Struthio camelus: one gene and its partners. The protein of the gene in region 1 interacts with the protein of each later gene in a pairwise test. Links are inferred from orthologs where the notes say so. Each region holds a gene or a part of one and is shown in the gene's direction. Other genes may lie near its edges. The genes, in order: KXD1, CCDC185, GABARAPL1 and C4H4orf46.

Evidence for each region.
Region 2: the proteins of KXD1 (region 1) and CCDC185 interact in a two-hybrid assay, tested with the Homo sapiens proteins (2 studies listed by BioGRID and IntAct). The two-hybrid records come from large-scale screens. The link is inferred for Struthio camelus from reciprocal best matches to the Homo sapiens genes KXD1 and CCDC185.
Region 3: the proteins of KXD1 (region 1) and GABARAPL1 interact in binary tests that used the Homo sapiens proteins (3 or more experiments, as listed by UniProt). The two-hybrid records come from large-scale screens. The link is inferred for Struthio camelus from reciprocal best matches to the Homo sapiens genes KXD1 and GABARAPL1.
Region 4: the proteins of KXD1 (region 1) and C4H4orf46 interact in binary tests that used the Homo sapiens proteins (3 or more experiments, as listed by UniProt). The two-hybrid records come from large-scale screens. The link is inferred for Struthio camelus from reciprocal best matches to the Homo sapiens genes KXD1 and C4orf46.

The regions. Positions count from the first base shown.
Region 1 is NC_090967.1:5,912,077-5,919,410, forward strand, and holds KXD1 (kxDL motif-containing protein 1), read left to right. Parts: upstream 1-4,319; 5' UTR 4,320-4,478; intron 4,479-5,123; 5' UTR 5,124-5,138; coding exon 5,139-5,233; intron 5,234-5,390; coding exon 5,391-5,543; intron 5,544-6,251; coding exon 6,252-6,298; intron 6,299-6,726; coding exon 6,727-6,962; 3' UTR 6,963-7,195; downstream 7,196-7,334. Other genes in the region: peptidyl-prolyl cis-trans isomerase FKBP8, read right to left, coding at 847-924, 1,048-1,220, 1,301-1,518, 1,700-1,788, 2,208-2,377, 2,811-3,110, 3,968-4,046.
Region 2 is NC_090944.1:67,114,836-67,121,840, reverse strand, and holds CCDC185 (coiled-coil domain-containing protein 185), read left to right. Parts: upstream 1-4,905; coding exon 4,906-6,504; downstream 6,505-7,005.
Region 3 is NC_090942.1:89,400,617-89,408,281, forward strand, and holds the start of GABARAPL1 (gamma-aminobutyric acid receptor-associated protein-like 1), read left to right. Parts: upstream 1-4,664; 5' UTR 4,665-5,057; coding exon 5,058-5,147; intron 5,148-7,665. UniProt on the Homo sapiens protein: Ubiquitin-like modifier that increases cell-surface expression of kappa-type opioid receptor through facilitating anterograde intracellular trafficking of the receptor. Involved in formation of autophagosomal vacuoles.
Region 4 is NC_090945.1:41,088,421-41,096,379, reverse strand, and holds the start of C4H4orf46 (renal cancer differentiation gene 1 protein), read left to right. Parts: upstream 1-4,942; 5' UTR 4,943-5,005; coding exon 5,006-5,167; intron 5,168-5,395; coding exon 5,396-5,551; 3' UTR 5,552-7,861; coding exon of another isoform or gene 7,862-7,959. Other genes in the region: ETFDH (electron transfer flavoprotein-ubiquinone oxidoreductase, mitochondrial), read right to left, coding at 1,102-1,331, 2,148-2,294, 4,381-4,414; RXFP1 (relaxin receptor 1), read right to left, coding at 7,862-7,959.

The DNA.
Region 1 (7,334 bases):
TCCCTGTGGCACCCTGTGGGTGCTCCCAGACCATGAGCTCTCTGGGACAGGGGGTCTCGCATGCTTTTAAACCACAGAGCACCTAGTTTCCCAGGGTCCCATCCTACTCACAGCCTTTAGAGACTGGAAAACATGATGCTAATAATGATGTTCTCGTGAAATGCCCAAGAAAAAGGCAGATAAAACAAGCCCAATCCGGGACTGATGCCTGTCCGTACAGCTGAGCACCCTGCCTCGAGCTCGCGCAGGCAGCACCTCCCTCCGCGTCCTCCCCCAGCTGGCTGGGGCCATTCCCTGGTTCTGGCAGGGCTTTCGATTTCTTTCTCCCCAGGCTCCAGCCCAGCAGCTGATCATTAACTGACCGGAAATTCCTGACCCAGGGATCGCTCACGCCTTGTGCTGGCCTGGGCGCTGGACTGAGGTCCAGGGCTTCTGGGGCTGCTCCCACAGCCCAGTGAATCATGCTCTGGGCTGCCGCAAGTGACTCCGAGGACGTGGCTGTGCTCCACCTCCAACAGCAACAACACAACACGCTGGAGCCGCCCCGCAAAGCTGGGGTAGCCAGGACCCTACGCCCAGGCTTGCTGAGCTACGGATGGGTTGGCAGGGAGTCCTGCTGCCGCAAGGACCAAAGGGCAAAGAGAGAGTATCACAGCCCAGAGATAAGGGCCCCACCAGCTCAGACAAGCTCGGACATTGTACCGTGGGTGCTAGCACGCAGGGCACCATGCCGGGATATCCAGCCCTTACACAGGAGCACCACGGTTTGCAGTTTTGCATGGCCAAGAGGAGAGCCCTGCAAAGCACAGCTCAACAGGATCGCTAGCAGCGCTCAGGGCAGCCTACCTTGTTCGAAGGCTCCAGTTTCAAAGCCGCCTTTAAGATGGGGATGGCCTCTCTGTATTCCCCCTGCTGGGCCAGGACCTGGAAGGCGAGACACAAAGCTGAGCAGGGCACTCGGGGTCCATCCCTCACCCCTGCCCTCTGTCCTGCCGTGGCCGGGCTGTGGAGAGTGGAAGGCAGAGCCCGCCGTGCACCCAGTCTCACCTTGCCCTTTCGGAAGAGGGCCTTGATGTTCCCTGGCTGGTGCTCCAAGACGAGATTACAGGACTTCAGGGCTGCCTCGTAATGATCCAGTTTGAGCTGAGAGGCTGCCAGGTTGTTGAGACATTTCACCTTCACATCTAGCAGCTCGGCCTCCTCCTCGGGGCTGAAGTTGACTGCAAGGATCCCAGAGCCCAGTTACGCCAGGAAGGCAGGAGCCCGGCCAGCCCTCCTCCCTGGGCAGGCCTGCCGATACCTTTTGAGCTGGAGTCGATGACCTTGAGGGCGATGTCGTAGGAGTTGATGGCCAGCACGTAGTCTGCCTGCTGGTAGTAGAAGTTGCCGCGCTCTCTCTTGCGGTTGGCCAGTGCTATCTTCTCCTTCCCGTTGAGCAGCTCTAGGTCCGGCGCGTCCCGAGCCTCCAGCAGCTCCACCTCCAGGAGGAGGGCTGCGTTGGGTGGGATATCAGGGCTCCTGCATCAAGGAGGGCACTTCTGAGGGCTTTTGCAAAGCGAGGGCCTGGCTGACGGCTGCCCCCTCTGCCAGTTCCCCCAGCCAGGCTGGGCCATGGGGATTTAGGGGATTTAGCACTACTTGCATCTCACCAAAGCCGCAGGCTGCTCCAAGCGCCTCCGGTCTGCCCTTCCCCACTCACCTGCCCTGGGGGCCGTAGCAGTACTTTGCATCTGACATGATCAAGGCTGTTTCTCCCATTTCCAGGAGCTGCACACACAAGTCCAGAGCCTACAGAGACCAATTTTGTGGAAGGAGGTGAGCAAAGGTCCTGCCCCTCCAGAGAGGGAAGCCAAGCGGCTGCTTCCCACTGGCAGACGAACTGCGCAGCTGGGGATGTCGCCGACTCCAGACCCTGCCAGCCGCCCCTACTGCCCCAGGCCCGGGGCAGCGAGGTGCCGCCCAGCGCGGTAAGAACAACACAGCGATAAACCAGGGACAGCGGCAGGGCAGAACTGGGCAATCAGCCTGCAGCACCCACATTCGTTTCTTTACGTGGTCTGGAAACAGGGTGCTGAGTTAAACCCCCCACCATCCCCAGTCAGCAGGAGGCCCAGGCTAGAGGGAGCAGGCACAGGAGCCCAGTGCTGCACCTCTAACTGTGCTCTCCTCCGCAGCCTGGCCGCAGGGCTCGGCCTCCCGGCTCTTACCTGCAAGACATCGCAGTCTCCCAGCGTGAAGGTGAGGCTGGGGTTCTCCTCCACCACGCTGCCGTCCTCCAGCGTGGCCTTCAGGCGGACAGTGACGTCCTGGCCCTTGCGTGGCCGGCTTTCCACCCCCTGACCCGGCACCAGGGTCTTCTTCTTGAGCAAGCCGCTCCCTGGGCAAGGAGAAGGCGGAGGCACGTCAGCCCACCGCAGCGGCAGGGCCCTGCACGGGGAGGGGAAAGGGAGACGGCCTGGCTCCGAGCCACGTCCCCCGGTTTCCAGCAGCGATCCCCCGCACCAGCCGGCCTTTCTGCTGCGAGAAGCGCCACCATGTCACCCCGTCGACCATCCCACCACCTCCACCCTAAGCGACGGATCCCCACAAACCACGGCGGAGCCCAGCAGCAGCCTCGGCCCCTGGCACCGGCTCAGGCGCAGAGCTGCCTGTCCAGTCCTTCCTGCGCTGCTGCTCCCAGAGTGCCTGAAGAGCTGTGGGGAAGCCCACCTCCTCCGACCTCCCCTGAAGAAGCCCGTTCAGCTCCGTGAGCCAGCTCAGCGCCTTGGACAGGAGCAGAAGATGCAGAAGTTTCCTCTGTAGGCTCTTACCCAAGACATCGAGCCATTCCTGAGGGTCCTCAGCTGCTTCCCCTGGGGCCTGCTCTGAGGACTGGGAGTCCTTCGCTGGGGTCCTCACCCGGCCCATGTCCTCCAGCGGGGGCAGCTCGCTCAAGTCATCATCATCATCTTCCAAGACCTCAAAATCCTCCCCGCTGTCAAGCGGGGATGTGCTGGCTCCAGCGAGCTCCGGGCAGGACAGGTCCGTGCCGCTGTCCGCCCAGTCCGGGGAGCTGCTGCTCTGCTCCTCCCCGCTGGAAGCCATTGCCGCAGAGCAGGGAGAACAGCAAGCTAAAGGGGAAAGACATTCAAGAGGTTGGTCCTTTGTTTGCCAAGGGGATGAACGCAAATGCCAGCCCTCCCCCAGCCTGGACAGAACACTGCAAGCGGTGACTAGGAACAGGACAGATACCACCAACCCTGCGCCGATGGAGAGCTGCAGCCGTCGCTCGCTCATTCGGACCTCGCACCTCAGCCCCCAAAGAGAGCAGCCAGCAATAGCAGATCACGCTTTCCTTTCCCGTAAGGTTTTGGGGGACCCTCCCCTGCTCTGCCGGGATGCACTGACAGGCTGAGCCGAGCTGCCAGGTGCTCTGGCCTGTTTCTGTGTATTGAGACACCTGCGTGCGGGGCAAGCGGGTCTCCCCGCTGGCCCGGCAGCTGGAGGCTGCGCAGCAGGCAAGCGCGAGAGCCTGAGCGGCAGCCCCAAGGGCCGCCCCGGGCGACGCTGCTCTCGGCGAGCTGGACAACCGGAACGTGGTCCAGGCCAAAGGCCTGAGCGCCCCGGCAGGGCCGAAGTCCGGCTTCCCCAGGGAGGCGAGGGCCTCCGCGGCAGCGAGGCCTGGCGGCTGCTGCTGCCGCCACCTTCCCGGGCGCTTCGCCGGCCCCGCTGCAGCCTGTAAGCGGCGCTGGAGCCGGGCACGGGCGGGTAGGAGACGCCCCGGCGACGCCGGGCACCGGCGGAGACTCGGCAGCGGGCGCAGCCGCCCGACGCGACCCCCGGAGACCCCCGCCGGCCGGCCACGTGCTCTCCCCCCGCCCCGGCCGGGCGGGCGCGCGCGCGCGCCCCCACGTCACCGTCGCCGTCACGCGCCGAGGACTCCCCCTAGCAACGGCCGCCGCCGCCGCGCGCCCCCCGCCGCTCCCACCTGGCCCGCGAGTCAGCTGCCGCCGGCCCCGCCCCGCCGCTCCCATTGGACGGCCGCGCCGCGCCAGCGCCAACGCCATTGGGCGGAGCGAGAGCTCGTCACCGCACCGCCTTAAAGGGGCCGCGGGGCAGCCCCGGGCGCAGGGGCAGCTGCCGGCGCCCCGAGCGGGCCCCGGAGGCCTCTCGCGCTCCCCGCCCCGGGGTTATTTATACGCCGGTAGCAAGTCCGGGCCCGCCCGTCGCGGGTCTCCGCGGCCCCGGCACCAGCGGGGAGGGAGAGGAGAGGGGGAGGGATGGGCCTTACCGGGCGCGGGGAGGCCCCGCTTCTCCCCTCCCGCGGGCCGGCGGCCGCCGCTTCCGGCCGGGCGCCGTGACGCAAGGGCGCGCTGACGTCACGGCGTCGCGCGCTGCGTGACCCGCGTCCCGGAAGCGAGGCGAGCGAGCGCGCGCGCCGCCGGTGCCGCCGCCGGTGCCTCCCCGCCATGTGAAGCCGCGGGGACGGGCTCCCCCAGGTGCGCGGGCCGCCGCCGCCGCCGGGAGGCCCCAGCCGTTACCGGGCCGCGCTGCGCCGCCGCTGGGAGGCACCGGGCCCGAGTAGCCCCTTTAACGGGAGGGGGAGGGACCCTGTTACCGGGTGGGGGGGGGGCGGCTCCAATACCGGGAACAGGACGGCGGGAGGTTCCGTTAACGGAGGAAGGAAGGGCACCGTCACGGGAGGGATTCGGTGGGGCCGGGGGAGGCTCCGTTACCGGGGCCGAGAAACGGCAGAGCGAGGGGGTGTTTCCCTAACGGGGGCCGGGATATGGCGGGCGGGCGGGCGGGGGGGGTCTCTGTTACCGGGGCTGGGATGCAGTTGGGGGGGGGGGGGCTCCATTACCGGGAGCGGGATAAGACAGGCTGTGGGGGGGGGTCTCCGTTACCGGGGCTGGGATGCAGTTGGGGGGGGAGGGGCTCCATTACCGGGAGCGGGATAAGACAGGCTGGGGGGGGGGTCTCCGTTACCGGGGCTGGGATGCAGGAGGCGGGTCCTCCATTACCGGGAGTGGGATGCAGTTGCAGGGGGGAACTCGGTTACCAGGGCCAGGATGCAGTTGGGGGGGGGGGGTGTCTCTGTTACCGGGAGCGGGAGGCGAGTCGAACCCGTGCCGGTCCCGCAGGCGGCGGCGGGCGCGATGGAGCCCACGGCCTCGCGGGTGTTCTGCGGCCGGGTGATGGGCATGGTCAACGCCGAGGACGTCAACGCCATCATCCAGGCCCAGAAGAACATGTGAGTCGCCCCAGGGTGACCGGTCTCCCCTGGGGACCCAACCCCGCGCTCACGAGTGCCCCGGCTCCGGGCACGGCCCTGGCAGCGAGCCGTGCTGGGCGGGGGGGGGGGGCGGTCTCGCCAGGCATCTTCAGAGCCCCATTTTCGCTCTGAGCAGGTTGGATCGATTCGAGAAGACCAACGAGATGCTGCTCAACTTCAATAACCTGTCCAGTGTCCGCATGCAGCAGATGAACGAGCGGTTCTTGCACCACACGAAGACGCTCGTTGAAATGAAAAAGGACCTGGATAGCATCTTCCGAAGAATCAGGTGGGGCCAGGGTCAAGGGGCTGGGAACGTCCCCCGGGGGTGGTGGGGGAAGAGAGAAGATGCAGAAACCAAAGGGTCTCTCTTCACCTAGAGAGATCACGGAGCGCTGCTGTCTGCAGAGAGGGGTATTAAAATGTGACACCCCTGTATGAAGGATCTTGGACCGTCACAGAAACCAAAAACAGGTGGAGAGAGAAAAACACATAGCAGAGCAAACACGTGGGTGTGGGGAGAGGCACTGGTTGCTGAGCTCGGAGCTTTAGGAATCCCAATTTAGGAATCCCGGCTTTGCAGCTGGGCCAGTGACTCTCTGCACTCCCTCTGCGTCAGCAGGGAGGGACGCAGCGCTCGCGCTGCTCAGGAGGGTTACGAAACTTGGGGTTTGCAGAAGTACCCGGTTTCCTGACAGGGAAGCTGTGGGAGCTCTGGCTAACGCTGGAAGTTTTGACTCCGAGGGCAGGGAGCCTCTTGGCACAGTGCTGGGCTTCCTGGGGAACAGACGGGGAAGACGCAACGTTCCCCAAAGAGCTAACTAAAGCGGGAGGCGCCTGCTGGTCTGGCAGCCGGGCGTCAGAGGATGAGGGATGCGGTTCAGCTCTGGAGCGACCCCCGAGGCCAGCTGTGCTGAGGACTCACCAGCCCGCCGCTGGGGGGGATTTGTCAGCTCGTGCGTAAGCCTGGCTCTCTTTTTCTCCTCTGCTCTTGCAGGACGCTGAAAGGGAAGCTAGCTAAACAGTACCCAGAAGCCTTCAGCAGTGAGTGATTCTTTGTTATTAAATCTGACTTGCAGCTTTTATGTCAGCTTGCTTTCAGCGTGAGGAGTCCTTTTCCTAAGGACACATGGCTCAACTTTCTGGGGTTGAGACCCCTCTAAAGAAAGAAATAATGAGACATCCAGGCATGTGCCAGCTCATGGTAGCTGCAGTGAAAAGTTTGGAGAGCTTTTTTTATTCTCTTAAATATGCTTTTAAGAGGTTACAAAGCCACAAATAACTGATGTCACCTAAATTAGTAGCCATCTATTGATTACTGTTACAAGCAGTCAAACCTTTGAATTAGAAGGGAGCAAACTCTTTGCTGTGCTTATGTTAGAGCGTCTCTCATACCTGGTGTTACACGGGCTGTGTATTGTTGTCACAGATGGCCAAAGCAGTAAAACTAACTGCTGCGTCTTCCCTTTCAGACATCCACGAATCTCCGATTCTAGATGACGATGATGATTTTGACCCTGTTCCAAAAAGCACGACAACCACCATTGCTACCTCTGAGCAGAGCACGGAGTCTTGTGACACAAGCCCTGACATTATCTCTCCAACCATGAGTCAGGATTTTGAGGATTTATCACAAGGCCAGTACGATTCACCGGCTGTGAACGGACAGAGTCTAACAGATGAAGAAGCTGCCAATGACCTGGACTAGGTGTACTGATACTGTACAGCCACAGCCAGCTCAGCTGCCTGGCCTGTGGAGAACTTCCTGTCCTGTATTTATATTTGTGTGTTTCCTTGGCCATTACTGTTTTGGGAAGAGGGAAGTGAAGGCTGAGAGGTGACGGCTGAGTGAAGAAGAGACCCCCTTCTGCCTCTAAACTGCCACCGTAGTGCATACCCTGCAACCTGATACAGGCAAATAAGTAAAACATGGATTTGAAACGCCTTTTGTCCTTTCTCATTTGTGTGTTCAGGAGAGCAGCAAACCCCTACGTTTGATTTAGACTTTGGCTCTTTGGAACAGAAGAGCGCTCTCCACAGCTCGGGGTGTGGGTGTTTTTCTTGGGAACGTAATTTGTTT
Region 2 (7,005 bases), on another chromosome or scaffold:
GCCAGGCCCAATTTAGAACAAAAGTAACTGCTAGGCTGAACACATCATAAAAGGAGATGAGATTTCTTTGTATTAACCAGTCCTTCACAGGGTAGAAACATAATTAGAATCTTCCTCACAACCAATAACATATGAAACCAAGCGATTAGTGGGACCTACTCTGAGATAAAATCGCTGACCTCAATCATGTTATGAATGGTTCTACTGCAATTGTAGAGTGTTCTCAAAATGAAATTGAATTTAAAGCACCTCTCTCAGGAAAGCAGGACAATATTGCTCAGTGATGGCTTGAATATGTTAAGTTTCCTGCAATTTCTTACATGACAGCTTTGATCATTCATGAAAGGTACTGTTGTTTTCCAAATTAATATAGTCACCTTTAAAAGAAAAAAAAAACAACAGAAACAAACTGATGCCCAAGTTGTTTGATCTCAGTGCAATTTCCCACTAGCTGCATGTGTAATAGCCTCTTAGTGCACCCTACTGGACTCCCTAAAGAATGCTTCCTGCTTTCTTGGAGCAGCTTTAATGGCAAACACATGGGTAAAGTGGCAAACTTCACGTGGGCTGACCTGCTCAGACTAGAAAACAGAAATTGCTGCTACAACAAGCCCTTCCATCTTCTCTTGCAGGATTTTGATTATTTTTGGCATTTAGAATTTCTAACTTAATTAAAACAAACATAAGCAGTAGCAATAAGCTCATCTGCTATCACAGTTCATGTCCATTCACCGTCAAGGGGCGAAAGTTTCATTTTCCTCTGGTAGGCAGCTTCTTCTCTTCCATGAACTAGGCTAACACAGGAAAGCTTGCTATTGTCTACCATTTATAATAGCAGACTCAGACTTCTCAGATATCAGGACCTGAAGATTAAAGCTAGCTTCTTCTCTGACATAAGTTGAACCAATATCCAACCTGTAAATATTTTGAGGAAGGCTAAATATCTATTCTATTGATGAGCTCCATCTCTATGTGTAATATCTCCTACACCCAGTAATTATCAAAGAAATAATTTCTCAGGATAAGCCATGTATAAACAAGTAAATCTCTGTCAGAATCAATGGAGAGATGCCTTTCTATCCCAGCTAGCTGAAGAATTGTTTTTGTTTTTTTTTTAATATAAGGATGTCAAATATTTGTTTTCTTCGATTGCATTTGCAGTTATCTGTTCTTTACTGTATGTGACATGAGCGATCCACCCTGAACTTCTATCTCGGGAGGAAGCTTGGAAACCTTTCACCTCCAGCATTTCTCATAACAGATGGTTATTGTTTCCTATGCTTAATGTATTTCACTAAGAAGAGAAAAAATGTATTTCCACGTCCTTAATTCATTTACCTCCTTTAGCCCTCCTGTCTGCATCTGACTGTAGCGTGAAAGATGTATTCCTGCTGTGGCCTATTTTTCATAAAGAAATTTTATGGTCAGCTAAATGTGACCCAAAGTATGACCCCTCAACCTCTACTTCAGACCCTACAAAACAAACATGCAATATGCTCAGCTAAGAGTTATACGAAACTGCAGGAGTAAGAGAGAATGACAGTGGTTCACAATAAAACAGTTTTCCAGCTCTATATATTATATATATATTACTATACATATATTGCTAATGCTATTCAGTGATAGATTCATTTAAATGGATGCAAGTCATGGGTAGGTGAGAGAAAAACTAAATCTCCCTAGTTACCTAGTCAACATGGTAGAAGGAATGAAATAATAAAATATTTGAGTGTTTTTTATTTATACGGCTATTTTATTTATAGTGTTATTTTGGTATTCAAGTACTTAAAAGATTGATTGTATGGCTGACTGCACTAATCATTCTGCACTTCAAAAGTCTGATGCCGTCAAAAAAAGGAGACTACAAAGACAGCAGTTTAATGAACTTTTAGAAATACATTTAGAAATACATTTTGATCACTAGTAATAAAGCCTTTTACCTTTTATACTCCGAGGGACTAAATACGCAACACAGCGGCACTTATATGCCCTAATGAATGTTATTATTATTATATATTATTCCCAGTAATAATACCACCTTGAAATACCATGTTCTTGCCTATTATATGTAGGGTTGTAAATTTAGTGAAACGATACAACCAGTAAACCGGCCTAAATGTCTGGCAGCGCCAGTGGAGCATATGTCATAACTCCAGAAAGAGATGCAGAGGAGCTTTTGTGCTCTCTCACAAATGGCCAGGCGTCATTGTACGTCAGACCAGCTTCCTCTCTGAATTGTGTTAGCTACCAAGGAGCTGATGTTCACCTTTTTTAAAGGTGTTTCCTCAGTAAGACACTGATTCTCCATCATTTCAGACAAAACTCTTGTGCAAAGAAAATATGTACAGCTTAAGTCATTCTTAAGCCCAATTTGCCAGCCACCTGTCACAACATGAAGAAATGGAAGCTAAGTACTGTAAAATTCTGGGTAAGAGCCATCTCTGATAATGTAATTGATTTGCATGATAAGCAACTCCAAGTTCAGTTACGTCAATATATGTCAAAACTATACTGCAAGTGCATGCAGATGTAGACAGCATATTAGAGAGGAAGAATAGATTAGCGCCAACCTGTCAGAAAAGACAGGTTCAATTGTTTGCTCAATAGAGATTCCCTGTGTTCCTATTTTTTTCTCTTCAGTTCCTCCTCTCTAAGATGAGGACAATAGTACTTTTTTTACTTCATGGCATCTGTGACACCCTTAGAAACAATATTAATACTATTTGCCTAAATATCCTTGATAGATTCATTTTTTTAGGTATTTACCTGAAATAGTTTTTCTACGAGGAATGCTGTAGAATATTTTAGCATAAAGATGCTCCAATTTTCAGCATGTTTGTAGTACTTTGGTTTGTAGGAGAATTTTATTTTCTTGCCCTTATTTCCGCAGGCATAATTTTTACAATTAATGCATCTGGTCCTTCAGTAATTCATCTCCATAAGTCGCATTTTCATAAATCATTTTATGAACTCAGAGTCAAATAGTTTGAGAAGGCCGTCTGCTTTCATTTGCATCATTCTCCATGTGCTCTCTGCTTTGAGGTATATTATGTTTAGTAGCTACTTAAATAATAATCCCAAGACCAAATTATCTCTGTCACTTTAAAGGAGGATAAGAACTCTTTTTATTATGAAACATTCAATCTGTTGCAATACAGGAGAGTGGCAGATATACACAAGGTGGGATGACGAGCATGCATTATTGTTCATTCAAGGTTTTGGGGGGGTTATTCTCATATTCAAGAAACTTCATGTGCAAAATAAGTGTATCAGAGTAGTGAAATAATTAAGATTCCTGAGTCTAATTTTAAAGAATGAAGTATTACCTAAGCAAACATAAACCAAACCTTCACTTAAGGCATACAGTTCTTAAAGAGAGGTTTAAGAAAATGCCCAGTAAGAAGCCACCAAACATAATTTGTGTTGAAAAAGCTAAGAAATAAAGTAAATATGCTGAAAAAATTTATGCAATGTATTGATTGTCAGAAGATAGCAGACTAACTAAAAATGATTTTTACTTATTACTACATTACAGTAATACTGAAAATAAAGTGCTCACAGTTGTTAAAGTCAATTAAAAGTCATCTATAGGGCTGATAAAAATACAGCTTCTTCCATTGGGAGCTTAAAAGAAAACTGTCTCTGAGAAGGACTGTGCCTCTTAATTATTGATAAAAGACTTATTCACAGCCATCTACATCTTCAAAACATCCAGGGTGGATTAATACTTATCATTGTACTGCCTAACGCACATGCTGAGACTAAAAAGAGCTTCAGCTGATTTAAATCACAGCCATCTATTTTATTGGTATTAGCCGCAAAGAACATAGCCCCCTAGCATGCCGCTCTGTAGTATGACTCCAAAGGGAACAAAGAAGCCAAGAGACATTCTGTGGTATAGGGCTGAACCATCTGGAGACCTTACTCAGCAACTGGTCCAAGAGCTCCTTGCTGGAAGAAGTGTTCATCACGCTGGCAGAACTAGAAGCTATATTCACAAAGGGATTTAGAAACTGAAATTCCTCTTCAGGTCCTCAAGTCCAGCTCTTAAGCAGCACTAGCATTCACAGCATCTGTGACTAACACTAGGTCCAGGCTCACAAACCCCCACAAGATTCTCCCGTAACGTTGGATGGGCTCCTTGAGCTGTCTGTTGTAAAACAAACCTCGCCTCAGTCAGTCCCTCTAAAAGAGGTATATTAAGAATGTAGTCACCATATTAAGATTGGCCTTGGGCCTAAAAAGTTCGCTAGCTTCCTCCGCTTCTAAGCTCTGCCCACCCATCTGTTTCAATTGTACGCCTGCGAGACGAATGCTATACTTTGCCACTCTGTGTGACAAAGGGGTTCGTCTTACTGTCCTAAATAACACGTTTTCCTCAACCCCACTCTTTCTGTTTTCAACGCTGGGGGCGGGGAAGGGGGTTGTAGCGCTGGTGAAGTAGTCCAGGCCTTTAGGCGGTGACCCTGTGGAAGGGCCAAAAGTCCAGTCCCACCCGTGACTCTCCCCCGCTACGGCGGTGTCCTCCCTGGCTGACTGCAAGTTTGGTGTTTCGTGTGAAGAACCCACCAAAAAAGCATCATCAAAAAAGCACTTTTAAGAGTTACACGGTACCAACCCATCCTTATACCCGGCTCCAGAGACGTATCTGGGGCACAGAGCTAAGAAAACCCCCTACACGAGCTCCTTTGGCCCCACCGCCCTGCCGGTGGCTCCCCCATGCCTCGCCGCCCGCTTCAGCCAGGGCCGGGCCCCAGAGCGAGCCGCAGCACAGGCGCCGCCGGGGCCCACACTGCCCCACTGTGACACCACGCCGAGGTGGCCGTGAGGTGGCCACAAGGCGGGGGCGGCGCGCGCGGGCGGGCCCCAGAGGCGCCCCGCGGCCTGCGCCGCTGCCGGCAGGACATGGCGGACCGGCGCGCGACGCTCCGCACCCGGCACCTGCGCGGCCCGGCAGCGGCCGGCGGGGAAGGATGCAGCGGCCTCGGTGGTCCCCGCCTGCCTGCCGCCCCCATGCTGCCCCGTGGCGGCCTCCGCCGGGGCCCACGGCCGGGACAAGGGGCACCACGTCCTGCGACCGTCTCCTCGGCGGGGCCTGGCAGGGGCCGGCGCAGGGCAGCAGGGCCTCGGCGGTGCTGCGACCACCCGGGGGCCTCCCCCTGCTCGTCCTCCTTCTCCCTGGACCAGCTGCAGAGTGTCAGCGGAAAGGCCGGGAAGAGGGGGGCTGAGGCCGGGGCTTGGCCCAAGGCCTGCGAGAGCAGCAGCAGCCTGCAGGACCGGGTGCAGACCGTCACCGAGGGGTGCAGCGGTGAGGATGACAACGGGCAGGCGGAAAACCTTTACCCTGATGGCCACTACCAGCGGAGGCCAAGAAGTGGCGCATCCCCCCAGAGGCTCCGCGGTCTGGGTGACGAGAAGTACGATTTTATCCCTGAAAAGGAGAAGACAGCGAGTGCCCTGACGCTGTGCAGATGCCAGGAGGAGCAGGACACGAAGGTGAGGCAGCTGCCGGCCTCTGAGGTTTGGGATGAGGTGAGAAGGCAGGAGAAGAAACTCAGATCCAGACGGGAGGAGAGGCAACAGCTGATGGCGGAAAACCTGAAGAGATGGCAGAGAGACCAGGATCAAAGGAAGGCCAAACGCAGGCTGGATGAGAAACGACTCTTGGAGGCCAGGCAGAAAGAAATGATGTTGCGAGAGAATAAATGGAAGAGACTGGCGCAGGAGGAAGAAACCAAGCGCAAGGCAAAACTTGAAAGATCAAAGCTGCAAGCTGAGTACAGGAAATATTGTCAAGAAAAGCAGCTAAGAGAGAAAAAGATCCTGGAGCAGGATACTAGAGACTTGAAGTATAATCTGCTCCGAGACAAAATGTCACGGGCTTGTGAGAAAAGGCTTTCAAAAGAAATTGAAAGGAAGAAGAAGAGACAAGAGTTGAACCAGTATGAAATGACAAGACACAGACGCCTGAAAGATCAAGTTGATCACCAAGTCAAAGCTGATGAACTTTGCAAGAGACACGCTATAGAGCAAAAACTTCAAAGATCTAAAGAAATCCTTGATCAGCTGATGGAGGAAAGGAATAGGGAATCAAAACAAAAAGCTCTAAAGGAAGAAAAACGAAGTGTTATGGCCAAATTTAGAGCAAAAGAGACAGAGGAAGAAAGGAGAAGACGTAAAAGTATGTTGCTGCAAATAGCTGAGATGAAAATTCAGCAAGCTCAAGAAATGCTGGCCAAAACTATCCAACAGAAAGTACAACGCAGCAAGCAAATTAACTGCTTAAAAGAAAGAAACCATCACTCTCAAAGGCAAAAAATTGAAGATGATGAAAAATGTCGACTACAGGAAATAGAAGAAGCCATTAGAAGGCGAGATCAGAAGAGTGATCAAATATTAAGAGATAAGGAATCTGCTTCAGGAAAAGCTAGAAGAATACCCACAACATCTTATGGCCTGGGACAAAAAGTAAGAGAACTGATGAATAGCCGTGCATATGACTAGATGGCTTTAGATGACTGTTACAATGCAGGTATTCTTAAAACTTTAAAGAAAGATTGCAACCATTTATGTGCCAAAAAGATGATTTGTAGTTTATTCATTCTGTGATTTGGCAAGAGCTCTGGATCGTATTACACTACAACGGTTTCACCTTAACCTTGCTGCAACTCATAAATGCACTGCTCATTTTTGTCAGCACCCTGAGAGCACCAGGAGGTCTTAATGGCCCTGGCCTGGCACACCTGCAGCTCCCCATCCACCTCCCCTGCCCAAGGGCTCAGGGGCTCCCTTTCAGCTCAGCCCTATTTCCAAGGCTGGCTACACCTCGAGCTGCAAATGTCAGAATGGTTCTAGTTGTTCTCTCTACATGAAAGGTACTTGGAGTGTACCTGGGATCTTTTAGTTGAAATTACGCGTATCTGTGACCATCTAAAGTGACCCATCTGTGCATTCACTGGAGTCTTACAAATTGGTATGGAAACTATATGGTGAAATTGTGGAATC
Region 3 (7,665 bases), on another chromosome or scaffold:
AAAGACTGGTATTCAAAAATATCCCAGCAGCCCGTTAGTGCATTGTTCCTTTCTTTTCACAAGACTGTAAGTAACAATGGTACCCTTCCCCAACATGCCATTGCAAACCATCAGATGGAACAAAGGGATCTTTAAATCCCAAACTTGTGTTATTCAGATCTGGGCTTTCGCCATCTTCATCACGCAAAGAGGTACCTTCTTTAAACTCCTTACAGTATTATTTGTATGCATTTCAGCAACTTGAGCAGAGTCAGGACTGTTCAATCAGTTTGGGTGCAGTGACCACGCAAAAACAAGAAGCTGTAGAAAATAGGTAAATGAGATGAGAGTTCAGCGTAGACAATACAGAGTCCTTTCCTAAAGGAAAGGAAAACATATACACAATCAGCCATTGTTTGCTAGGAGTGACCAGCCCTGCACCCTCACCCAGGGCCAATGTGCCCATACTGGCTCTGGAGCTGCTACAGATTCAGTGCCAAGTGAAACTAGTGACCAGTCACAAGCGGTGCAGGGGAGGTGCCAAGGACTGGGGAACTATCCATGTATCTCAGACAGACAGCAAACAGAACAGAATTACAAGTGACTTCTGATACACTCCCTCTGGTTTAATAATGATTCAACCTACACTTTAGAAGTTTTCTGACAAGAGAGGCTTTGATATGCCTGAAACTACACTAAAGATTAAAAAAAGTCAGCCTCAGGAGCTACAAAAGGAAAAAAATATCCAGGGGGAGGTACTAATACAATAAATATTCAAGGAGATTCAGAGTTTCAAGCAGCTGACAGGAATAAACAGCAACTCCAGCAAGTTCCCAAGAGACATCCACCTGGATAACACCTCCAAGACACCTAGGGCAAACAATAGGGATATTTTTACTGTGAAGTTATTGAATTTTAGTCATTAGTGCAGATACACCCAAGTCAGTTTCACCTCCCAGTACTGCACTGCAAAGCTCCTAGGAGTGCTCCTGGAGCGCTGTGTTGTACAGCATGGGCTACAAAACCATCTGGGAACCTGCATAAATATTTTTATCTCCTGTTTATCTGGCTACAACACTGGCAATGCAATCTCTTTCAAAGTGAACCTATCTGCTCACATGATCTGCAGACACAGCAATGTGCTACAAGTTCAAACTGTTCAGACATTCTAGGTTAAAAGTACATTGTTTGGCCACTTTGTGGACCAGTTTGTGCTGGGCATCCAGTGTGGGAAAACCAGCGAACCTCATCTCCAATTCCTCCTTTTAGCACACAGACCTAGAACGTGGGGTTTGTCACATGCATATGGCTTGGCATTTTAATAGGAATTCAAAGTCAGATGATTACCTGCTTGTCACTTCTTCTGCATGTATCATCTTCCTGCTTGCTGTTGTGGCAGTGACGTTACTGTTATTATTGAATAAGTGGAGACAGTTGGGAATTCAGTGCCTGACAGGGAGGAAGCAGGAAGTGGGAGGAGTGAGTCTTGTGGCTGCACATCTAGGGCTGCATCTTCATGGCAGAAACAGTTCCGTAAGGAGATTTGTGATCCCAACACAGGATTTGTTGGGGAGGAAGAGCCACCTGGCAATGCTCTCACTGGCTATACCAGAGCAGGGAAGAACACCAAAGCTCCTCCCTGGTTTGTCAACAAAATTTCAAACAAGAGCCTTGTCCAACTGCTCTGTATATAGTCCTGTAGTGGGACACAGCAATTACAGCAGGACAACAGGAGAACTGATTTGTTAAAATGGACAGAATAGGTTGGCAGTCTGCGTGAAATAGGCTGGAAAAATTCCGTTCTCTTGTGTCCTTGAGGAAAAGGCATCTACACCATTACACACCTTCAATACACTTGCCAACTTTTGTGCTGCATGCAATTAGGAGGCAAGGAGGAGGACAAACACGGGTAGTACAGAAAGGTGCTGCGCCATGAAACTAGAATTTTCCCCAGGTGTAACCCCTGGTCTTTCTTCAGTCTAGGCCTTGCTATGGTACTGCACAAAAATGATCCCTTGTTTCTGACTCACCATTCTGAGATCCTCTGACACTACCTGCAGCCACGGGGAAGTATTCACATGTCTTGGGACAGACAGAAACAAGCTGATGATGCTTCCTGTACTAATAATGTGCATATGAACTAGTGAAGGCTGAGACACACTGATCTATGCCATTCCCACTGCACTGCAGTACCATTAAGAGGTGCTGGTACGTGCCTATTGGAATAGATTGTTGTGCTATGCAGAAAGTCACATTATACAGTGTGGAGCAGTAAAAACTTAGACACAAAAGCCTCTGCCAGAGTCCGTGAGGGGTACACGAACATCCGAAAGTAGATGTCTATATTCAGGAGAGAAAAATCACAACCCATGCCTATTTATCTCCGTTGACTCTAAAGGCAACTTAAGATGACAAGCTCAGCTGTATGCACCCATGCTGTTAAGTGTAGGTGAGATTTCTGATTCACTTTCTCATGCCAGACAAGAGTACCTGGAAACTGCCACCATCTGAACGTACCTGCATCAAAGAAAATTTATTTCCGCCACACCTATCTTACCCATATGCAAAATCAAGGAGATTAGGGTGCAACAGGGCTTGGAGAAAGAAAACTATCAAAGGACCTCTGAGTTCAGGCTCAGAGGCTGCCTGCTTTTGAAAGCAAAAGTGGATAGTATATGACACAACTCTCTACAAGGCAGAGGGGACAGACTAATATCCTGGATATGCTGTGGAAATTTGTAACAGGCTCCTTCCTAACCCTGGTGTCAGCATCTCAGTTGCACCCTGCAGGCAACTCAGGTGTGCATATTAGTAATATAGAGATACAGCCACCAGTAGTGTCTGAACTATGAGTTACTTGGGGCAACTAAAGGATTTATGTGAGTACCTCTAGAAAAAGACCAGAGTTTTATGCACCCTTGACTCTGTTTTTATCACTAAGGAACATCTTTGATCCAGCTACTGCTTACTCTTCAATTTCTTTCTTTTTTTTTGTTTTTTTGTGCTTCCAGAATCAAGCTGACTCTTCACTTTAGTCTGGATTTCTTCTGCATTGATCACGCGCTAGAAAGAGGGTGCCTGCAAAATAGCAACGTTTTTTCTTATCCTGGTTAATTCTGATGCAACACATTGGCAGAACGTTGAATGAGATATGGGGAACCCAGGTTCTCTCACTTATGCCACTGGTGTAGCCTTGGACACATCAAGCATTCAAGGCAGTTCATTGTCCTGCTCAGCACCTCCTACTTCAATTAAAATTACTACACAAATAAAAGATAATCCTTGAAAAAGTTCTGCTCCTCTGCATGAGGCATGAATTGAGAGACTTAGAACATTTTGATATGCTCCCATTCAGTTGTTCATTTTCCCCAGGATAGCAGCAATTAATTTTTGTACTGATTTGAGCATGGTGATCCATTCATTAGTACCTTCCTTTCTTCTAGTCACTAAATACTGTGAGCCTAACTGCCCCCCAAAAACCCAAAGATATTCCAAATATGTTATCTGTTGAGTAACTGGGCTAAAATTGCCCCACTGCTTTGGCTTGTTTGCAAACAGTTCACTTTAACTGTGTGCTGTTTGTAATGTGCCTCTGGTCAGGTGCATTACACATCACACTTTCCGCCCCTTATTATTTAACTGAAACTTCATAAACAGGAGAATAATCCAGACCCAATAATGACAATGTTAGTCACTAAAACTTGTATTTTTTTCCTCTTAGATCTGGCAGCCACTTAAATAGGTCAGTCTCGTCACCTCTGTTTTAAATAAGTGGAAGCAGAGGCATTCAAGCATTACTTGGGGAAACTGAGGCCTGGGGACATGCAGCAGCTGATCCAGGCCAGAGCCCTGCAAGCCATGCTCCACAGCCCCACTGCCCACCTTCACGGCCATCAAAGGGAAATTCTCCGAATTTGCCCTGTTCTTAAGATAGGTCGGGGGTTGTCCAAGTGCCAATGAATTACAGATCCGCTAGCTGCTGTGAGCCTTGCCGTGCAGCTCTTTTTGTGACAGCGCTCCCCGGGCTGTGTGCCTGCCCACTCTGCTCCCAGGGCAGGGAGCCCCCGGCCAGGGCAGCTGTCCCTTCATGGGCCTTGTACACCACGGTGTGTTAAACAGCACTGGCAAGGAGGGAGAAGCAGCATGGCTGCCTGCAACCCGCAGAGATGGATATCTCCGTTCATGCGGCTGCTCGGCTGTATTCATAACCCCTGAGTCATGCTGGAGATAGTGACACTGCTCAATTATAGGCTCATTTTGCCTTTGTATTGTGTTTGGTGGGGGGAGGGGGAATGAGGCGACAACCAGTACAGTACAGTAAAAAATATATATATATAATAATAACAATGATTAAAAAAAACCACAACCCTGCATGGCACGGAGTGTGACACAAGCCCTGCGCAAGAGAGGGAGCAAGAGCTGCAGCTGTCACCTGCTCCCAAGCGAAAGCAGGCCCCAACTCTGCCCGCTGCCTTGCACGGCGCTGACCCCTTGCCCCGCGCCCCGCGGCTGCCCGCGCTGCAGGGCGCGGACACCGCCGTGCCCTTGTCCTGCCGCACTGTTATGATTTTGCCGCATGCCGCCCTCCCCCCGCCAAGGCAGTGGTTTCGCCCGGGAGCCCTTTGTAGCGAGGGCGTCGCCCACGAGCTGATGGGGGGGTACCCTGCGCGCCCCCTACCCGCCGTGGGGCGCGGGCCAGCCCCTGCTCCCGCCCGCGGGAGCCTGGCGCTGCCGCGGGGGCGCCGGAGGGACGGGCCGGTAGAGACCGCCGTCGTCGGCCCCGCACGCTGCGGCAGCCGCTCCTCCTCCCCCCCCCCTCGGGTGCAGTGGAACCGTCTGGAATGACGGCAGAGGTGCCTCCCTGTGACGTCACAATGCCCGATTTGCCCCAGCGCTGTTTCTGTGTTCCAGGGCGGCCGCGTCCTGCCGCAGGTGGGCGCGGCGCGGCGCGGGGGTCGCAGCGGCCGCGCAAGCTCCGCACGGCTCCGTGGCCCGCTGCGTTGCGAAGTGCCCAGTCGTAGCTCACGAAGCGGCAGCAGCCCTCGGAGGGGCAGCTGACGCTTGGGCAGTACACCAGCATGAAGTTCCAGTACAAAGAAGACCATCCTTTCGAGTACAGGAAAAAGGAAGGGGAGAAAATCAGAAAGAAATATCCCGACAGAGTCCCTGTGAGTGCGGTGTGTGAATGTATACTCGGACAGCAGCAGGGGATTGCAAGATTGCTGCTTGCGGGGCTTGCCTTACATGTCATGCTGCCATTCTGCCTCTCTTTGTTCTCATTATCAATTGTTGTCCTTTTTTCCCCCCCCTTTATTAAAGGGAAAGCAAATTAGATTAGTAAGCATGATGTTTACCTTGCTGTTCTAAATCCAGCCTGCTTTTCTCTTTAGTGCAAACCTATGATTATTTTTTATGTTGGTCTCTATTAGCAGTAGGTATGAGGATGGCAGGGTGTAATATACCCTCCCTCTTTCAGGAATCTGCAGCAATTTGACAGCTCGAATGCTGCTAATCTTTCTATGGCAGCCTGTGTGCATGGGGCTGGGGGGTGGGGAAGGAGCTTATCATCTGCTCTGTGAAAATGGAGGAGAACAACGAGTTTACCATGTACTCTTCATAGAAAACTAGAGCTGTATCCATGTTGTCAGATATGTTCCCTTTATTTTTTATTTTACTTTCTTTTGGCCTGTCTTTTCAGTATAGTCTTGTTCTGTTCTTGTGCTTTACATGAGAGAAAAACGACACTAATTTCTTAGCCTTCTGCCCTCCTGTTTAACCTTCTTATGGAAAAAGCATCACTTAGGAAACAAGGTTTTGATCTCTTAGCCAAACTTTACTTCCTCCTCCTTAGGTCCCTTTGGAATGCCTGTGGAAGGCTTCTAGTTTTATAATTACTGGTAATAATTGGAAAAAAAGAAATGATATATCAAATTAATTGTGTGGGTTTTTTTTTCCTATTAAATGTTTTGCAAATGTTCTTTCTTTCCATCCCCACTGGAGAGATCTGTCCTAGATTTACTGTCCGGGGTACTGAACTGAGACTCCCCTGTGAATCTAAGCCTAAGGGAAAACAGTTATGCTACATGTTTTCCGGAGAGACCAGCACCATTTTGTATCTTAGAGTGGCCTACAGCTGGGCTTGTAAAAATGCTGGAAAGTCAGAATTTGGGTGCATTTGGCTGAGCTGCAAATTCAGGGACCCTTGGCCTAGCATAGCACGTTGAGAATACAGCTAGACAATGATGAAGTGGACACTCTTGCGAGTTTTAAGATGAGGACCACAGAAAATGCTCTAGGTCAGAAGTGAGATAAACTATAAACTGAAGATTAGCATGGCAGTTTGTGCTCCAGATCCTGAGAGATGTGTCCAGAAAAGCCATATGTGGGGAGCCAAGGACCAGACCTGGTCTGGCAAGAGGTAAACGAGATCAAGGTAGAGGGGCATGAGCAGAACTGTAGGGAAGAAACTGGGACCCAAAGAGCAAGGTGTGCTGCAGTTAAGGATAAATGAGAAAATCTGCATGGGGAGGCCCAGATGTGGATTATGAGGGGGAAGCCTGTTGAGAGAGCTGCATATGGAACAGATGAATGCAGCTGACAGGGTTCTTTGCATCACATGTCTCTGCCCTTCCTGACAGCAGGATCCTTGAAGACGACATCCCTTTGGCTGCCTACATGGTAGTGCCCTGATGCATCTCAGCGTTTTGCTGAGATTATAATGTTGGCACAGTCCCATGTTACCGCTGACACCACCCAGCAACAACAAATATGCAGATAATCTGTTGCTACACTTTGGATTTTCTTTGTCGGGGTAGGGGGGGAGGGGGTGTGTGCATGCATGGGTGCGTGAAGGTTTTAGTACTTCAGAAAGAGATACCTGTGTTACCAGGCAAACTAACTGCTGTTGATAATCAGTTTAGCAAAGCACCTTCTTTCCTGCTCTGCTTCTTTGCAAGAGGGAGACTTGTTAAGCTCAGTGATTATCTAATTTGAATGCTTCCTGGGGATTTAGAAGCCCCAGCATTCTCCCTTCTTCCTCACAGGCACGATATACCTTTGGATTTCACCACCATCTTCTTTTCCTTTATTATCTAACAACCAATTACGATCTATCCTGTTGGGTCAGGATGGGCATATCACTGCTGCTGGCTAACAGTTCTACGTGTCTGCAGTTTTGGTAATTGTGAAGAAAGAAAGGTTTCTTTTCATTGCAATTTATTGTGTTAGATAATGCCTTGTAGTATGTGTGGGTAAAAGAACCTGCAAAGTGCTATTGCTGTTGAGCCGACATCTATTCAGTGAGATCTTGAAACTATCCTTCCTTCACAGCATTGTCCTATGTCAATTGCCTCTGCATAGAAATACATATCCTATCACAACGTATCTCAGAGAGCTTGAATGACTTGTACTAATCGAGGTGCTTGAAAAATCAGGTTCTTGAAAAGGCAGTGATGGCCATACTTCTATTTTAAAAACAAATTTAAATTTTCAGGACTTTGGGCCATGTTGAAAGCATCCAAATGAGGCACAGTGAAGAGATGGCCAAGTTAGTATCTCTATGGTGAGGCATTCTTTGCAGATACTCACTTGGTGTAGATAGAGTAGACCTGGATTATTATGGCACTTTGCCCAGGCTAAAACAGGCCCATCATCATAACACAGGAAACGCCATCTGAACATGAGAAA
Region 4 (7,959 bases), on another chromosome or scaffold:
GATAAAAGTAACCTAATGAAGTGATCAGCGTTCCCCTAGACACCACAACTCATACTCTTGCACACACGCATTATTTTGTATTACAGTCTGTTAAATTTATAGAAACCGTGCAGATACATTATACCTGCTCTGGAAAGCATTATTTTGAACTTCTTGACTAGAGAAGATTATGCAGGAAGAGTGAGTTACACAGCCACAAGCCTGAGCTTGCTTGGTCTCTGCAAAAAACCAGAAATTGTATGCAAAAACCTGGAGGTCTTTTGCTGGAGCTTGGCTATGCTGCAAATCATATCACACTTAACCATCATAACATACAGTAGCTGTCAGCACTCCCCAAGACAAAAAAAAACAGTAGTTAAATATGTAAAATACGTAAAATGTAAAATAGTATGTAAAATAACGATCAGGCAAGAATGACCACAGCTACTGAGGAAACAAAACTGTATAAAGTCCTCCAAGTTTGTACATATGCTTGTACTACACCAATATTCCAGAGATTTCTAAAGAAGGCAACTCAACTTGCAGGTCACGTTCAGCCCACTAAAACAACAGTCCATCTAGTCAACAGCCCACCTCCTGCAGCTCCTAGGTGATATTAAGAGGGCTGGCTGCAAGTCAGATGGGTTGTTCTCGCAGAGATGACAGCTTGCTGCCTGTTACCCTCTCTCCTACAAGCATGTTAGGCTTCCATCATATCACCATGTCTGCACATAAATCAGTGTATTGTACATCACTCTCTGAGCACATGCAGAACGACTGCCTAGAAGTAGCAAGTTTGACATTGCAAAGAAACCATTATCTTATGGCTTGTGCACGGGAGTTGGATTCTGCACAAATGCAGCAAATCTAGTGCATCCCAGGATGCACTAGACGTACTTTGTATGTGCACTACCCTATAAAGAAAAGCAAAGGCCACAGTGTATCTGTTTAGACATAAAAAATTAGCATTGATGCGCTAAAGGAAAACAGACTAAAAACAAGACAGAGCGTTTTTCTGGTAAGTCACCACATTTTAAATGGAACGAAGGTAGAAAAGAATGAGTTGGATACAGAGTTTATTACCTTAGAGATGAACTGCAATGTTTACAGGTTCATACATACCCCCCGCTCCTTCCAGTCCGGAAAAAGTTCTTCTAAGGACCGTGGCTCAAGACAAGCACCAGAAAGTGTATGTGCACCAATCTGAGCGGCTTTTTCCACCAGACAAACACGTACTTCTTTGCCATGCTCAGTGGCTAACTGTTTGAGTCGAATAGCTGCAGAAAGACCCGCAGGGCCTCCTCCGACTATGACAACATCAGCTTCCTCTGCAAATCTTTCCATGTTTACTCCTTCAATAGGACAACAGATGATAAAACAAATGGATCTCCAGTTTCTCCTGCCCTCTCTCTCACTAAATCTTGCTTTGCGATACTGCTACCAGGTAACGCAGTAACATCACCTTGCATAAAAGAAGGCCAAATATTCAACAGAATGCTCACTTCAGTACTTGGAAGAGGGTAGAAGGACATTAGTATTCATTTTGTCAATGTACAATCAACTCTTTGTAAGTTGTAAGAAGATATACCATAAAAACATATTCAATCTGTATACACTGTAGGTAAGTATCAGCAATGTTAAAAATAAGAGCCTGGTTGCCTAGCTGTATCAAAGATACTTGGTGAAACTCTAGGAAGAGAGAAAGAAAAGAAAAAAAATCTTTAGTCAGAACAAGTTATTTTATTTTACTCTAGTTAATCAGCTACTGTTATGGAATTGAAGACATTAAAATTGCTGAATATATAGACTGGAATGGCCAGAGATATATATTCCTCTTATTTTGTCACAAACTTTCATGGCGAGAGCAACTGAAAAATCCAAAAAATACAGACCTGACTGAATTCAATCTTGTTGTGATAGTCACCCAAGTAAAAAGAATTTATAAACTTTTTTGACGTAACTAGAATCCAGTCAAATCTGACCTGATTTTATAGTGCTCAACACAATCGTTGTGAGATAGCAACCGTAAAATTTCATTTGGGATATTAGTACTGTACTTAACAGAATATAATTTCTGTAAAAAGAAAAAATCGGCAACACACTTCAGTGTTGTTAAAATTGAGTAATAACAATAAAAAGATGCTTTTAAAACACATGTTTTCACTTACCTTCCCATCGTTTGTCTTTGTCCCGAGGATGAATAGTATAATGCGTAGTTATACGAGGCACAGAGGTAGTAGATGCACATGCTGCAATATGCAGTGATGGAAGGCAGTCTCTCTTTAACAACTTTAAAACATGAAAACACAGACGTGCTGCAAAAACAAAAAACAGATTCACCAAATCATTAGCTTTCCAAAGTTTTCTATATTTCAGAGACACAATGGCACAACAAATACGACAGCCCCTTAAAAGGCTGCCAGGTCAAATGAAGATGAGGAAGCGTATAAATAGATTTTTAGTTATTCAGCAACTAGGACTGTGCATGTGTAATTTTAAATTTAAAAAATAAATAAAAAATAGAGAGCTTTCCCTTTAAGTGAATAGCACTCAAGGAATAAGTACACCAGCCAACCAATTCTGACAGCTGGCATACCACAGCATGCACGTACAAAGGAAAAAGACATTCTAAGTTCCTACGTCATTTTGAACATCAAAAGATTTATTGAAGACATCATTAAAAAGGACTAAACAACTGTAGAGAGAGGACATACAAGTTCATCCCTTTTGCAATCTCAACACATGTTCAGACACACAGCTTGGGCTGCTGATTCTAAGCAGCTGATCTAAAATAAATGTCACCATCTACAGTAAAAGCCAAGACTTAAACAAATATACTTTAGCAAGGCTAGAAATAGATACAGGTAATAAAGACACGCAATCTTTACCTTTGCTACAGAAACATTAATAGTTGCCACAACAAATTATGCATTCTCTTAAGTCTCAAATAAGCAAAATAAGACAAAAGGGCATGTTACATGCTTGTTCTAATTTCCGTCTTTCACAAAAAAAAAATCATGTTTTGGAGCTGTATGTGATCTGTTCTCAGAGAGCTAGTAAGTGTAGCACCAAAACTAGTTATAGTTACAAGATTTGTCAAGTAACGCACACTAAGTGGTATTTTCCCTTCCATTATGGATTCCCTTAGTCTAATTTCAGGGCAGAGAGGGAGAATACTATATTTGAAACACAGTATTTCTGCAAAACCACATAAGCAAAACCACCAACATACTGATGTTCGCTGATGTGTTTCATTGCCAACGGTGATTAACAAGGCCACCACAAACATCCTCCATCATAATTACATAGTGATAGTCGGGGTACTGGTCTCCATATGCAAGGTAATAATAAACGGACATAGATAATACTTTTAGGTTAACAGCAATTTTGCACATAACAAACATAACATAAACATTATTACTATAAGTAACAAGTAATTCTTATCACGACTCACAAGTACCCTTCACCTGCACAGCTAGGTAAAGCTGTGTAAGCTGGACAGCTTCAAATAATGGATCTGAGAACAAGCAATGTGTTTTATACGTAGGATAATAACTACACCAATATACATTAAAACACAATACCATAACTTCATTTCTGAGCTATTTTATTTGAGCAAGACCGATAGCACTATGAGTTACACAGTACTGCTGCTTGGCAAAAATAAAAAGTGAAATTGACTTAGGAATATGTTTAATAAACACAAAGGCAGGTCCAAACTCTGCAACGGCACCTGAACAGACATACTCTTTTCACCCAACGACCTGGAACCTGGGCGACTGTGTTACTGCAGAGCTGAGAGCTTACGGACTTGGCAGTTCGCATACGTGCAGCAATGAACAGTGAGTACGAAGCGGTGCAAACAATCGCTAAGAAAAGAGCAAAAACTCGCTCCCACGAAGTTCTTTGACAACCGCCGCCAAGGCATTACTTCTACGATTATTACCTCGATAACGACGTACATCCAATTACCTTACCCTTTAAAACACGCTACACCTAGCAAAGATCGCTGCAAAACAGACAGCTCTTTACAGCGCCGCGTTACATTTTAACACCAGACACAGCACGTTAACAAAATACACCGGTAGCCCAACCCTTGCAGGTGCTTACTGCGTAGTTTCACCCTCGGAAGCACATTTAAACCAGCAGAGACCGCAGAGACCGCTCCGACGAGGAGGGAGCAGCTGCTGCGGGACAGCCGCCCCCCAGCGCCCCCGAAACCTCCCCACAGGCGATGCCGGTGGGGCGCCCCCCACCCCCGCGCAGGCGCCGCGGCCCGGAGCGGCCGGTGGCGCCGCGGCCGCGCCGACCTTTGCCCTAATTCCGCGCCAGCTGCCGCCCCCGCCCCAGGTCGCCGTGCCCCGCCGCGGCCCGCTGCCCCGCCGCGAGCCGGCACGTTACCTCGGCTGGAGGACGGGCAGACAGGCGGCAGCATGACGGCGGCAGCTCTCCACTCTCCCCTCAGCGCTCGCACCTCCTCTCCACCGCGCCCACCCCACCCCGGCTCCCCTCGGCCCCGCCGCGCCTGCGCACTCGGCTGCCTGCCGGGCGACACACGCCCCGTCCCGCCCCACCCGCGCTGCCAGGACTACAGCTCCCAGGGCTCCCCGCGCGAGGCGCCGGCGGGACATACCACGCATGCGCCTGGCCACCACGGCCCGCGGAGGAACGCTTGCCCTGGTCTGATATTTAAACGCAGGCACATGGAGATGGCGACGCGCTGGTTTACACATTTTTTGCGCCGTGTGCGCTACAAACAAGACCAAGCGCTAGCTAACAACCCAGGCGGGCACCACGGGAAGAAAGACTACCGTTCCCGGCGTGCAGCGCGGCGCCCATAATTCCAAGCGGCGCTGTGCAGCACCGCCCCGTTCCCCCGTCGCACGCCCTGCCTGGTCTCGCCGCAGTGCCTGCCGGGATACCCGCGAGCCTTTCCCCGGAGCCGTTGGGGCGGGGCGGGGCGGGGCGGGGCGAGCGTTGCAGCGCGCGGAGCCGTTGGGCGGGCCGGGCGGCAGCGGCGCGGAGCATGGCCGAGGCAGGACCGCTGCAGCCCACAGCGCTCCCGGAGGGCCCGCCCGCCGCCGGGCCCAGGAGGAGCCGCAGCTGGAGCAGGGGGGCGCGGCCGCCGGAGCAGCTCGCTGGCGACCCGCAGGAGCTGCTGGAGGAGGTGGAGATGCAGATCGGCGACGTGAGTGACGCCGCGGCGGGAAGCGCTGGGAAGGGGGCCCGGGCGGCGGTAACGGCGGCTCCGGTCCCTGCAGCCCGGCCTCCTCGCTCCTGCCCGGCTCCGGCCGAGGCCTCCCCGCTGCCGCGGCACTGGGAAAGCGGGGCGCCAGCGAGTTGTCAAGCCGGGAGCCCTTTCCGGGTGCGTCTCGGCGCGTATTGCTGACCCCCAACCTCTCGCTCTGTCCTCTAGGCTGCCTTCTCGCTGACAAAGATCCTGGAGGCGACGTCTGCTGTATCAGCCCAGGTGGAAGAGCTTGCGACCAAATGTTCTGAAAATGCCAGATTTCTTAAGACATGGCGGGACCTGCTGAAGGAGGGGTATGATTCCCTGAAACCCAGCGAGTAGCTGGGCCGTCATGGAAAAAGTGGGAACTTCTGCTGCCTGATGAGGGATGTTGAGAGGGGAGTCATCCCACAGTATTTACCTTTTGCTGACCGTGCCTTGTGACAGTAGAGCTTGATTGGCATCATACCACGTTGTCTGCTTATATTAGACTTGAATGTGTTACTGCACACTGTGCCTAGTTTTTTTTTTAAAACAACTTTTTTAGCGATTTCACATGGTGAGTTTATTTTTTCATCAACAACTCATTTTGAGCTAGAAGAGAGTTCTTTGGAAAATACTTGTATGTGTACCAAAACTATGTATAAGTTTCTGAGTAAAATAACTTTGTTCAGGGGAGTTATCAGTTGTAACTCTTGGACTCCTCCTTTGCAGCTCAGGTGATCTCATATGTGAAAGAACTTTCATTTTTTGCTAATATAATGGAGACAAAGTTAACTTGTAAGGTACATCTAGAACTCACCAGCTGTGGGGGGGAGTGGTAGCCCATGAAAATATAGTCAGCCATCCTTTTAAGAACTTTGACTGTGCTAGAAGAAGCCCTCTTAGCTCCAGGGAAACTTGTCAAACTAATTTTTCTTTGTGCATGCTTTTTCTTCAGGTTGAGGATGGGATAATATGGCTAGTGAAGTCTTATTTAAGAGCTATAGATAAGCCACCCTATCCCAAATCTTACTATTTTAGGCAGTATTGCAATATATTTCTATAAAGATGCATTTGTTTTACAAACAGTTTGATAATTGGAAACATGTTACGCCAGACTTTTTGTAATAAATACAAAGTGCCTTATGCATTGACCTTAGATATATGTTTGGTAGAAATTTAACTGTGTTGCTTACTGATAGGATGGATTATTTGGAATTATTAATACAAGCTTCCTTCAGTTAGAATAAGTGTTTGTAAACTGTATTCTCTCATCTCTGGGGCAGCAGCTTGTTCTGTTTTTGGCCTATTGTATGTCCTGCCTCAAGCAGTAACTAATTAATTAATCTAGTTTGTACTATAAACAGGACCTTTTGGTCTGAAAGATCACTAATCTGTAATAAATAGTTGCATTGAAACTTCTGTATCCCTTACCAGAGTAATGTGAAAAAATAATGCTGAAATGCAAGGGGAAGCTTCAGGAGAATGTGGCTGTACCGTGACTTGTAGCAAGCCTAATTGTCACTGGTAGGAGGATTTTTAAAAGACAAACCGTAGTTTTGTTATCAAAAGAATAAAGATGTTACACCAAATTAGGAACTAACTAATATTCTTAAGGTACTGGTAGGAAACAAAAAAATACTGAATACATCCATAATCAACTTCAAGTGAAAACAGAAGTAGTGGTAAGGACAGGTGTCCTTAACATTCCTTATAAAAAGCAGTTATTGTCATTGAGAATGCTGAGCTTCTATGATAATTAAAAGGGCAATCCACATTGCAGGAATTCACTGAGCTATTTTTTCCAGTACCCTAAACAACTTGGAAAAGAAGTCACTTTGATCAGCAGATCATCCTTTATTGAAATAAAATATACAGTAGTGGAAACAAGATGCTCAACAAATTTTGATTTCAAGATGATCCAAAATTCTGTAAACAGTTAAAGTGTGAGTCACACTAAGTTTTAATTCAGCTTCTTACATACTTAAGAAGTTAAGTGCAAATACTAGAAGTAACTTTTAACTTTCTTTTAAAGAACTTCAAGATCATCAATGCAGAAGAGGCATTTCTTTTTCTTGGGCTGCTAGGCCATTGGACTGAGTGTGGTATTAGAGGAGAACTAAGGAAGTCATAGTAATTGGTAGTGGAAAATGTTCTTTTCAGTAAATAAGTGAATAAATTGCCTCCGTTTGTGTCCTTATACCTTCTTCTATGTACAAAGATGATTGTTTTAGGTGAGGTAAAATGATTTTACCTTGTAACACTGGGGAGTACAGTACTACTCAAGTGCTCAATGATTGCATTCCCTAAATTATTTTAACCATAATGCATTCAATTTGATGCACAAGGTGATTAAAACTTAGATGGCATGACAACTATTAAGACTGATAGGCCTCTATTTGTCAGTCTCTCACTTGGTTTGAGAGGTGGAGGAGGAATAAAAAGAGACTTAACTTTTCATCCTGATCAAGGATGAGTTGTCAAAAGGTCAGGAACTGTTGCAAGACGAAAAAATTATTTTTGTATCAGTTCTCCCTGCAAGTAGACACATTGATCTACTTTCTTCCTGCTTTGACTGCTGGTTCTGGTGAGTCAGTGTGTCCCCTCCCTTGTTATTTTCCTCATTGCTATAAAGCAGTAAATCCACGTATGTGAAGGTTCATAATGTGTTTATGTGTATGAATTTAGTCTGGTTGACTGTGTAGTCACTGATGCCTCAGAGGAGTCTGTACAAAGAACAGGCTTCGATAGCTTTGGTGTGATTTCAT